Linked DNA regions of Coturnix japonica. The protein of the gene in region 1 interacts with the protein of each later gene in a pairwise test. Links are inferred from orthologs where the notes say so. Each region holds a gene or a part of one and is shown in the gene's direction. Other genes may lie near its edges.

Evidence for each region.
Region 2: the proteins of FHL2 (region 1) and RAI2 interact in binary tests that used the Homo sapiens proteins (3 or more experiments, as listed by UniProt). The two-hybrid records come from large-scale screens. The link is inferred for Coturnix japonica from reciprocal best matches to the Homo sapiens genes FHL2 and RAI2.
Region 3: the proteins of FHL2 (region 1) and NIBAN1 interact in binary tests that used the Homo sapiens proteins (3 or more experiments, as listed by UniProt). The two-hybrid records come from large-scale screens. The link is inferred for Coturnix japonica from reciprocal best matches to the Homo sapiens genes FHL2 and NIBAN1.

The regions. Positions count from the first base shown.
Region 1 is NC_029516.1:121,912,975-121,917,270, reverse strand, and holds the start of FHL2 (four and a half LIM domains protein 2), read left to right. Parts: upstream 1-1,403; 5' UTR 1,404-1,530; intron 1,531-4,155; exon of another isoform or gene 4,156-4,290; intron 4,291-4,296. UniProt on the Homo sapiens protein: May function as a molecular transmitter linking various signaling pathways to transcriptional regulation. Negatively regulates the transcriptional repressor E4F1 and may function in cell growth.
Region 2 is NC_029516.1:108,813,396-108,817,043, reverse strand, and holds the end of RAI2 (retinoic acid-induced protein 2), read left to right. Parts: intron 1-1,234; 5' UTR 1,235-1,325; coding exon 1,326-2,972; 3' UTR 2,973-3,367; downstream 3,368-3,648.
Region 3 is NC_029523.1:7,389,716-7,393,363, reverse strand, and holds part of NIBAN1 (protein Niban 1), read left to right. Parts: intron 1-696; coding exon 697-827; intron 828-1,653; coding exon 1,654-1,785; intron 1,786-2,212; coding exon 2,213-2,327; intron 2,328-3,648. UniProt on the Homo sapiens protein: Regulates phosphorylation of a number of proteins involved in translation regulation including EIF2A, EIF4EBP1 and RPS6KB1. May be involved in the endoplasmic reticulum stress response.

The DNA.
Region 1 (4,296 bases):
TTGTATGGACAAAGGCAGATGTCATCTGTTCCAGGAGACTTGAACTCATGCTGTCAAATTATGTTGCTTGGCAGGGGTTGAGGACATTTTGCTATGAGCTTTTTTATGTCAGGATGAACCCTTCAGATGCCTACTTCTGATTGGTTTGGCGCTAAAACCATAAAACCTGACTGGGCTCCAAATCAAGCCATAAATCCATTTGTCATGTCAAAAACCCTGGCACAAATTTTGTGTCCGTATCCAGTCTCCACAGCTTGACCAAACAAAGTGTTCAGAGAAGAACTGGGAGGTGACACGACCTCCTAAAAACTATTGAACTACCAACAATTTGAGGAGAAGGGGATGTAGAGAACGGGGCATTCTTTGGGACCGTGGAAGTAATAGATAAATCCAACAGAGAGATTGATGGCAGATAATCCTGCTTCAGGCAGGAGAAGAAACAACAGATAATCTCAGTTTAAAAGCGTAGTATTTCTTCTAAGACATATGTTGCCGTGTAAGGGAGAGTCATTTTTCTGCACCTAGAGGTTGCCCAATGCTCTTTCTTCATCTGTGTGTTGAAGAGGATTACCTTTTCTTCTTCTAAAAAGCAAATTAAAATAGTACAACATTCTGATCAAGGACCACAACTGTGCTGCATCTTGCTCTGTAGAAACACATCAAAATATAGAGATGGATCCATTATGGGCAAAGAGCTAGGATGCAGTCCTGATTCTGCACTGAGCCTTGTTTGGGCAGTTTCATCTCTGCAGCCAGAAGGGCAGTGCCCACAGGATCTGCTGGAAGACCTCTCTTTTACCTCTAATCTCTCACTCCTTATATGTATGAGTGTCCCCTACACCTCTGCTCTACACCTCCCTTGCAGAGAGCAGGGGCCCAGCAGGGAAAGCAGGCTCCTGAGCTTTGAGGCCTCTGCCCATACCCACTGATTTGTGACCACTGATTTGTGCTGCCACTGTCTTCCCCTGGGATCAAATAGAGCACAATGAGGCAGACAGACCACCCTGCAGTGAGGCTGTATGCCTGGGATGGACAGACAAACAGATGAAGGGGAGTTGGAGTTCACCGCATCCACAGAGCAGCTGGCATTTCTGTTAATCCCAGAGCCTTGGGGAATAATCTGATGGAGAAGTTAGAGTTGCTTATAGCTCAGTGAAAATATCAAATCATATAATAGTTCTGGCGTTCTGAGGAACACTCGCAGGAACTCCTGAAAGTAGGTGAGTGTATTTTGAGATCCAGCACTCTGAAATGGAGCAGGTCAGGAGGACAGCAGCCCTTTCCATTGGGGGCCTTGTGTTGCTATATCTGTGATGCCTTAAAAGGCCGGTGGCACAGAGGTACTGCAGTCCTTATCTCCTCTGGGTGCCTGGGGCTCTGGAGATATTATATTTATAGCTCATCTGAAGTACAAATGTCTGTCTAATTACTAAATACATAGTGTGGGTAATCCAATGAAGCCACGAGTCCCTGTGTTTGCTCCCATCCTTCGCGCTCTCACAAACAGAGGCACCACCGAGCTGCAGCAAGGTAAGACAGTGACCAGTCTGGATTATACCATCCTTTGGCCCCTTTTCTTCTTTTCACCTTCCCTCTGTAACAGGGGCTGGAAGTTTCTTAAGGCTTTGGGCAGATATCACAAGGGGAGGGCTTCTTTCTTACCAGAAAAGGGGATTTTCGGTTGTTTGTTCGTTCCTTGTTGCCAGGGCACATACAGAGCATCTGACTTTGTATTTCCAGCCTGTTGTTGGGAACCAGGTGCTAAATAGCAGCTGTTCTTTAGTTTCTGCACTAATAATATGCTGTCGTTTCCATGTTCTCAAGGAATACAACCATGTCTAACTATAGACACTTTCCTGGTTTGAATAGAAAACTGAATGACTTCAGGCGGAAAGTGTGTGATTAGTGTTCTTTTTTCCTCTCCATCAGCATTTTCTTCTTTATGAAAGTGGGGAAAAATAGAGGGCAGAAGGAACATTTTATTTTTTTCCCTCTTTGAGACCATTTCCTAACAGCCTGCAAGGAAAGAAAGCCAAATCACAAGCGATGCTTGTTGATTTCTTGTTTAAACAATTGCTTGATATGGGTTACAGCAGCTGTGTGAAGAGGGAAAAGAAAGAAAAGCACTAAAACATGTCTGCGTATGAAAGCACAAATTCTTCAGAACCAGACTATAAAATAGCATTAGCAATAACTGCCAAATGCCAATTATCAGGCCATTGTTACATTAAATTACTTTTAACCTCATCTCATGAGAGCATTAATTTTCAAATGAAGCCAATAAAAGAAGACCTCTTGGGAAAAATAAGATTGTTTGTGCGTACGCATATATGTGTTTGGATGAATTTGTGCACACATTTTTAATATAAAAATCCTTATAAGGAAAATCTCTTTCATCCAGCGACCATGAAGAGTGATACAAAGGTGATATTTACTTTTAGTCCAAGAACTAAAACTATCACATTTTAAGCTAGAATTTGTTTATTGTGTTAGGAAATGAAATGAAAGGAGTTATTTTGTGGTGGCTTATTTTTCCAAAATACTGAGCAGCCATTGTTCAGTAGGCTTTGACAGGACCTCAGGCCCCTATCAACCCCAGTTGAGCCAAACCTAAGGCTCATGTAAATTGTCACCTCACTTCAAAGCTCTAGGAATTGACCTCAATCCCTAAGTGGAGATTTAAAAGGCAAAAGGATAGGCCGTTAGCTGATCCCAAACTGCTGGAGATCTGCTGACTTTAGCTGGGACGTGGATTTTCACATCAAATGTTGACTGAACACATCAGCATGAAGAAGTTGAATCCAGTCTCAGGGCTGTCTCTGCCCCCATTACAGCAGTACATGCAATACCCTCTGCAATGCTCTGAATCCAGAATCTGAATATCCGTGCCATTACATGCTTCTTGTATCAAAAATACAATTACCAAAATAGCCACATAGATGGGACTCACTCCCAAATGGGAGAGCCCAAGCTGATGTTTGCTCAGCTGGCTAGAGAGATCATTGAGTTGCAGTACCTGGGAGTACCCTGAGGTCTTCTCTGATTCATGACATAGATGTGGCTTATCAGTCTGCTCCCATGTTTCCATCTTCCACTGAGTAGGATATCACTGACAGTGTGTTTGACCTCATTTAGCTTGTCTTGTCTGGGATGTGCTCTCCAGGCTTCCTCTGGCAGGGGGTGATGACCATTAGTGTAGACTGTGTTGAGACAGTGAGCTTAAGAACAAGCTTGTTCCATCTTTTATGTGAAGAACAGAACATAATTTCATCAGAAATAAAAGAAAAAAAGTGATAAATACCAAATAGTCTGCACATGTCTATCTTATCTAAAGGCTTACTATCCCCTCAAGAATGCTTTGGAAGGCTTAACTTCTTCAAACACCACAGCTGATACTTCTGCACATCCCTATGTTCTACTGCACTTATGGTCTGTCCTGCTCAGTTCCATACACGGCTCTGATCTACTTGTCCCTAGTGCTGATGAAATGAGTTTTGTAAATTGGCTACAGACCAAAGGTAGCACTTCCTACCAACGATTGCAACATTGGCTCTGCGTGGGCCACCAGCACATGTTGGGAGCTACCCTAGCCAGATTTGCTGCTCCCCTTGGCCATTTTTTTCCCAGGATCCTGCAGTTATGTTCAACTGATGTGCAGAGTGTAGTAAATTGAGCACCGAAGAAGTTGTGTGTGAAAATAACATTTTCATGTCCTCAAATTCTTTGCCTATCATTCAGGTCTAAGACTAAAACAATAGGAATAAAACAACTATTCTGGTTGGATTCTTAGTGTTAAATTATCGTTGTTGCTACACAGACAGTGTTCCCCCTTAAAAACAAAACAAAACAGAACAAAACAAGAAAAGCAAAAGTAGCATTCCAATCATGTGCAGCAAAACATCAGTGTTGCTTGTTGTTTTTTTCTAAACACTAGCCCAAGATATTTAGCTTGAAAAAATGCAGGAACATGCATACGAGTGCAGATTTTTCACCAGATTTGAATTTAAAAGTGAAATAAAACAAAAAGGCCAAAAGCTTGTTCCCAAAGCGAACCCATGCTGAAGGCAGTCTTTCCAACAATAATACTTTGTTCTTACCTAGCATTTTAATATATGATTAATGGGTGAATATCTTTACTTATTCCTTTCCAAACAGCAAACCATCAGAACAATGCAGACTTTTGATTGCAGCTGGCAGGAGGCTGGGAGTGGGAAGACTCATTCAAACCCTTCCTTAATACAGAAAATATAAAAGGGCATTTTTACAAGGAAGAAAGATAGAGAAGAAAGGGTATGT
Region 2 (3,648 bases), about 13 Mb from region 1:
CATTAATATACTGCTTCGCAGGGGAACGTGGGGGGAGCAGAGTGTTGATTTTTGAAGGAAACAGGTTGTAGATTTCACTGTCATCAACAGAAACAGTCTCTGTCCTTTTTTTTCTGTTGACATTTGCTTGGTTTAGATAAAGGCATTGGCTGGTAAAGTAAATCTGAATCAGAATCACAGAATGGTTTGGTGAGGACTTTAAAGCCCACCCTGCCCCAACCCCTGCCATGGGCAGGGATGCCCCCCACCAGCTCAGCTGCCCAGAGCCCATCCAGCCTGGCCTTGAGCGCCTCCAGGGACGGGGCACCACAGCTTCTATGGGCAGCTGTGCCAGCACCTCACCAACATCTGAATAAAGGATTTCTGTCCCTAGAGGTGTTGAAGAAACGTAGATGTGGCACTGAGGGAGATGATCTTTAGTGGGGTGGTGGTGATGGGCTGACAGTTGGACTGGGTGATCGTAGTGGTCTTTTCTGACCTTTATGATTCTAGGATTCTATCTGCCCTTGTAAAAAGCCAGTCTCCCTCCTGTTTATAAGCTCCCCTCAAGTACTGGAAGATCACAATGAGGTCTCCCTGCAGCCTTCTCTTCTCCAAGCTGAACAAGCCCAACTTCTTCAACCTTTCTTTACAGAGGAGGTATTCTGGCTCTCTGGTCATCCTCATGGCTTCCTCTAGTCCTTCTAAAGGGCCGTGTCAGAGGTACTGCACCAATGGCCTGACCCACTAAAGTAAAACCCCATGGGAGGAAAACAAGACAGCTCTTACAAGGGAACCGAGGACCCTTTGCCACGGTGGAACATTTCTGAGCTGTGTATTTTTAGAAACGCTTGGTTTTGTGCTCCTGCTGAGTTAAAGCAGTGTGCAGTCTCTGGGCTCTGCCACACACTGTCATTAGGCAGACTTTGTTTAAGGCGGCAGAAGGGGCTGCCTGAGCCCTTGGGTTGGCTTGCATATGGGTGGGGCTTTTTGACTACAGGCAGCCCTCAAGTCCTTTAAATTATCTGTGTTTATGGCTAAATATAAGTTCCTCAAAACTCTTCGTACAGCACTCACGGATGTCTGTATATATAGCATCGCTGTGTACATTACCGCTGTGAGTTGTGGAGCCGCTGCCCTGAAACGTGGAAACGTTTAAGGGCTTGTTTTGGTGACAGGGTCTTCCAAGACAGTCGCAAATGTTTTGTTAAGGAGGAGATTTATGCACTGCCTAAACCATGTTTCTGCATCGCAGGCCAAGCGATGTCAATGCCGGAGCCCATGGCAGCCCCGTCCTGCTGATGGTGATGTGAGCACGGCGCTGCGGAGCCACAAAGCCCTGCGAGATGGAGGAGCTCTACAAGGAGACCCCCAACCTGCCCATGGATGTCACCAGCCCACCGGCAGCGATGGCCAACAACAAGCTGGAGAACGGTGTGGCCCAGCTGATCACGGCAGAGGCCTGGAACATCAACTCAGCTGACCTGATGAAGAAGGCCCTGTCCCCGCTGGTGACCGTCCCTGCTCCCTCCATCCTGACACCGCCGGCCGAGTCACAGAGTGGGGTGGCACTGAAGGTGGCGGCCACCGTGCTGCAGCCCATCTGCCTTGGGGACAGCCCCGTTGTCCTCCCCATCCACCTGCAGGTGGCTGGCAGTGCTGCCCCACAGATGCCGGCTGGTGGTGCCACCCCATACGTCATGACCACGCAAGGCCCCGTCCCACTGCCAGTCCTGCTGGAGCAGCATGTCTTCCAGCACCTCAACTCACCCCTGGTGCTGCCCCCTGGCACTGCCTGCCCAGCCAGCCCCCTGCATGGCAGCCTCTTCCCGGGCGCCTCTGCCCCTGTCAGTCAGCCCCAGCTCCTGGACCCCAAGCCCTCAGGCCCAGGCCAGGAGCCCGTGCTGCCACCCGTCTTTCAGACGCCTGGTTTCGCTGCAGTCCTGCAGGACCTTTTCCCCTCAGGGCAGGGCACCCTGGGCTCAGCCCCCTGCCAGCCCCCTCCTGACTATGCTGCCCTCCCCCCCCAGGCCTTCAGCTCACCCCTCTCCCCTCTGGTACCCCCTGCCACACTGCTGGTGCCCTACCCTGTCATTGTGCCACTGCCCGTCCCGGTGCCCATTCCCATCCCTGTCCCCATCCCCGTACCCCACGGCGCTGAGGCCAAGGTAGCCACTGACCCACCCAAGCCCCCAGTCTTCACCCCGCAGCCCTGCAAGGGCACCCAGACTCCCCTGGAGAAGGAGGAGACAAAGCCCTTCGACCTCGTCCACCAGCGGGACTTCTCCCAGCTAAGCCGCCACACTGTCATCAAGATGGGCAGCGAGAATGAGGCGTTGGACCTCTCCATGAAGGGCCCGCCTGTGCCTCGGGCCTGCGAGGCTGCCCCGCCACCGCCATCCCCTGAGGATGGGGCACTGGACCTGTCTCTCTCCTCCTGCCGCAAGCCAGGGGGCCCCCATGGGGAGATGGCCGGCAGCGGGCCCAGTACCGAGGGCAGCCCACAGGACAAGCCGGCCACCCCTTTCACTTCCGCCAAAGCGCCAGAGGCTGCGGGCAAGGCGGAGGGCAGGGTGGCGGGGCCAGGGCCAGGTGAGCTCCTGCGGCCGCCACAGAAGTGGTTGGTGGAACCAGCCGGGAGGGCGGCCTGTGAACCCAAGGCCGGTGGCAACAACATCGAGATCGTCAGCACCTCGCAGACAGCCAAAGTGATCGTCTCCGTCAAGGATGCTGTGCCCGCCATCTTCTGCGGCAAGATCAAGGGCCTGTCAGGGGTGTCCACCAAAAACTTCTCCTTCAAAAGGGACATGCCCCAGGACTCAGTGTTGCAGTGTTATGATGTGAAGAGCCAGCCCGAGCCCCGGGACAACGCCGAGGCGCTTAGGAAACCCGTAAAGAACAGGAGCGTAAAGCTAAAGAAAATGAACTCGCCCGAAATACACATTCTTCCAATCAAGAAGCAACGGCTCGCTGCCTTTTTTCCAAGAAAGTAAATTATGGGTTTTTAGAATTTTAAGATTATTATGGAAAAAAAAAAATAAAATAAAAAAGATGCACTTGGTTTAAAACTCATTTAAAACTTTAAACTATCTTTGTAAGTTATTTTTGGGGGAAGGGGGGAGAGGAGCAGATGTAGAGTCCCTATAAGCTGGGTTTCTTTTTTTGTTGGTTTGTTTTGTTTTGTTTTGTTATTAAATTTTGACTTTTCGTGGGAAACTGAATAAAAGCAACCTATTTTTCAAGCAGATTGCACATTTTGCAGCTTTAATGGAGTAACGGATGAGTCAGAGGGGTAAGAGCTATTTTCACTGCCATAAAGTGCTTTGATGATGTAATTCTTCATAATGGTTAGAACGGAAATTTCAAAATAAATGTTTGTACGTGCTAATCGGTGGCGGGATCTCTGTCGTTTCTGAAGGGCTTTGGCCACGTGGAGGAGGCCCGGCCAAAGTCTGCAACCGCCCTCACATGATCAGAGTGAATGCTACTGACAACCCACCCGGGAGCAGATTGGGGTGTGCTGCAGGGGGCACTGCACTCCACTGGGCTTTGGAGTGGTAAAAAATGAGGGTAGGTGAGTGGTGAGGCCAACCCGGATCTGAAGTGTTGAAAGCAATAGCAGCAGTTACTTAAATGACAAGGTCTTAAAATCTGTGAGAATTCAGTTGC
Region 3 (3,648 bases), on another chromosome or scaffold:
CACACAGCTTTAACTTCTTGCTTTGCTTTCCTGTTTGTAAAACATTATTTCTTTGCTATGGTAAACGTGTTAATTACTTGTAAATTGCTGTAAGATTCCCAGAAACCAGCCCCTCAATGTGTTTATTGCTGTTATTGCTACTGATGAGATCTCCATCATAGTAAGACAATACAAGATGAGCATTTCACACAGCGTGGCTAAGTGTCTGTTTACAGTAAAACAAAGAAGGGACTTCTTGTGCCCAAGTCTAGAAAATATCATTTGCAAAGAGTTTTGAGTCAGCTTTAAAATCTGATGATGTGATAAAATTGGCTAGCATGTCTAAACGCTATCCAGTATGTAAACACTACCCACTATCACTTGTGATTATGTTTCTTCAATAAGCTCATCAGCTTGCAGGCATCCACTGCTCCATGGCAGTATGTCTGTGGGAGAGGCAGAGTGTCTTTTTTTAAAGGTAGTGTACTTGGGTTATGTTTTGCCCAATTCTGTCGCTTCTGGAATGAGAAAAATCTGTACTTGTGTTATCACAGCAGCTGAATGCATCCATGAGGGCTCCCTGACCTGCTCGGCAACAAGTGGCCGTGGGTGCAGTTGGGCATTATTATGAGTTGGTGGTAAAAACTTCTTTGGTTCTGCATTACAGCTTCTGAGCTAGTGTACGTGAAGTATAATTAGTCTTTATTTGTCCTTCAGGAAAAACAGAGGCTATCATCAAAAACTTCAGCCCACACTACAAACACCAGTACGCCGTGGCTTTCTGCAAGCATGTGCAGGATGAGCTGGAGCAGCACCGCAACTCCCAGTCCCAGTTCCTGAAAACCAGGGTAGGAAGACGCGTAAGCCTGGCCCCAGCCTGAAGCTGCCTACAGCTTTGCTCTCCTTCATGAAATAATTAATGTTAAAACTATTTAAACAAGCCATTTAGTAGCTGTAATACATGAAAAACATGAACTGGAAGTGTATCAGCTACCAGCTGGACTTGGTTTTCTTGTTTATCCTGGTGTTGGATGCTCTTAAGTAAAGTTAATAGGCAATACAGATACTCAGAGCTTCTAAAAATCAAGCCCAAAATACTTATGAAGTTACTTAGATGTTTTCGTATATAAAACCCCAGTGCTTTAATATAATGAAAATTATTTGGGGATGGACTTTTTATAAAGGCATGTCCATTACAGGATGAGGGGAAATGACTTTAACTGGAAGAGGGTACATTTAGACTAGAAATTTGGAAGAACTTCTTTACTGTGAGAATGGTGAGATCTGGAACAAGTTGCTCAGTTGAGGCTGTGGATGCCCCTCCCTGGAAGCACTCAAGGCCAGGCTGGATGGGGCTGTGAGCCCTCTGGTGGGAGGTGTCTCTGTGGGCGGGGGGTTGGAACTAGATGATATTAAAGGTCCCTTCTAACCCAAGCCAAGTGATGATTCTATGAAAATACAAGACTGATTTTTCTGGCTGTGTTTAAAATCATGGATTTCTGATGCTCTTGAAATGTACAGAGAAAAGCAGTGTGGTTGGGAGTGGAAGGTGGTGTAATAGAAAAGCAACATCTTTCCAAAAACTGTATGCTATTTATCAGACCACGTGTGCAAAAGTGTTACAAAGAAGTGTAAATCCGGAATCATTTCAAATCTAGAAAATTTTCTTTATAGCCCAAATCAGAAGCTGGGACCGTCTTGTATGAAACAGAGTTGCTGCATTTTGCTGAGGATGTGAAGAAGTGGAAGGACAGATATGTTGTTATCAAAAATGACTACACTGTAGATTGCTTTGAGACCAAAGAGGTAAATGTTTCCTCCTGTTATGTTCTTCAGCACTCCCCAAGAGACTGAGATCTGAGGAATCTGTTGCTCTAAATGCCTTTCTTCTAGCAACAGATGAAATATCCCAGGGAGGCTGTTCCAGCCTTGCAGCCTTGGTTGGAAACTTCACAGGGATGCCCAAGAGTCTGCTGAAGTACCTTTTATTGGCTCCTCTCTTCTGTCCCTGAGTCTTCACTGGGGCTGATGAGCTTTGAATGATCTTTTCTATATACCATTTTTACTTTACTAAATTTTTTAGACTTGATATGTCCAGTGAATATATCTGACATTCAGCCTGACAAAAACCTTTTTATTTGAGGAATTTGTGCATTAACTTTGTCAGTAACGTAGTTTATGCTTTCCCCCTTCTTAAATCTCAGTTTTGACTCCCTCTGTCATGATTTTCCAGGCCTACCAGAAAGGACTCAGCCCTAAACATCATCTTGTTCCTGCGGGAGGCAAAGTACTGACTTTAGAAGAAGATTACAATTTGCTGTCTGATAAACATTTTCCAGATCCTGTTGGTAAGACTTGGTAAAAGTTAGTGCCAAACCTCAGGCTCTTTTCCTTACAGAAACCACATCTGGGCAGACTTTGAGGCTAGGCTTTAAGCTTACAGAAGATGCAAACAGCGTATTTTCTAAGTCAAAACTTAATCCCAGAGTAGACATACACGAAAGATGCCATGAACTAAAACGTTCAGAGAAATGCTGGCTCTGTATTTTTCCAGTATCCCTACACAAACCCTTTGGAAGCTGTGCAGAAATGGGGCAGGAACTACACCACTATTGTTCCCAGCTTTGTTAATATGCCTGGTTTATTTGTTTCCATTTTTAGATACCAGCTGCCTGTGTTGATTCACAGCTGATAGGGCATCCCACAGAGACGACAGGAAGGTTGCTGTTTCTGGATTTGTTGTTTCTGCAGCAGGAGTTGCAGGGTTGCCCCCTCCTGTGTCCCTGAAGACAAGAAAAGTTCAGGGCTTAAGGAGGTTAATCGCTATGTGGTGTAGAGTCAAGTTTGAAAAAGGATAGGAGGAATGAGAAAATATCTATCTTTTTTTGTAGAGGGCTTTTTTGTGTGGTTTTTTTTTTTGAAGTCCTGTCTCATATTACTTAAAAGTTATGACTTCTGGCAAGCGTCCCTGATTTCCCCTTTCCCAAGACTGCTGGTGTAGGATGGTCAGGGGCTGGCGTGGAGCAGCAGAGCTTGGAGGTGTCCTCTGTGTCGTCTCAGCTCCAGAGGAATTGGGGATGAGCAACGTGGAACAGCCCAGGGCCACTTCTGGCTTCCCATGGCTCTCCCTCTGCAAGGATTGTCTCAGTTGTTCTTTTACAACCTTTCTGCCCTTTTGTGCAATGCAGAAGAGAAGACTCACCAAGGTGAACCTCTTTTGTGTTTGGATGCACAGCACCGAGACGAGATTGATGTTGTAGAGCATCCCTTGTACACAGTGATTCAGGTCAGGGTGCAGCTACAGATCATCATCATAGAATCCTCAGAGTCAGAAGGGACCTTTACTTTGTGAGTTTTTAAATTCACCACTAGGGCTTGAATTGACAGTCCATAAGGTTGTGTTGCAGTTCTGTATGAAAACAAAGGGAAAAGGGGAATTACTGCTGTTCCTTACAATTTAATACAGTTTGTTTCCGTGTGGAAGACCTTTTATGGTCTCTGTGTGGAAGAGACCAGAGTTATCCAGTAACGTGTTCATTTGCCATGGAAATGAGTTACAACCCAGTAAAATATTTATATTATATTGCCAAAAGTATGTTATTTATGTCTGCCTTGAATACAGAACAAGAAGCCATAGAAGAAGATCCAACCCCCCAAAATTCAGTGCAT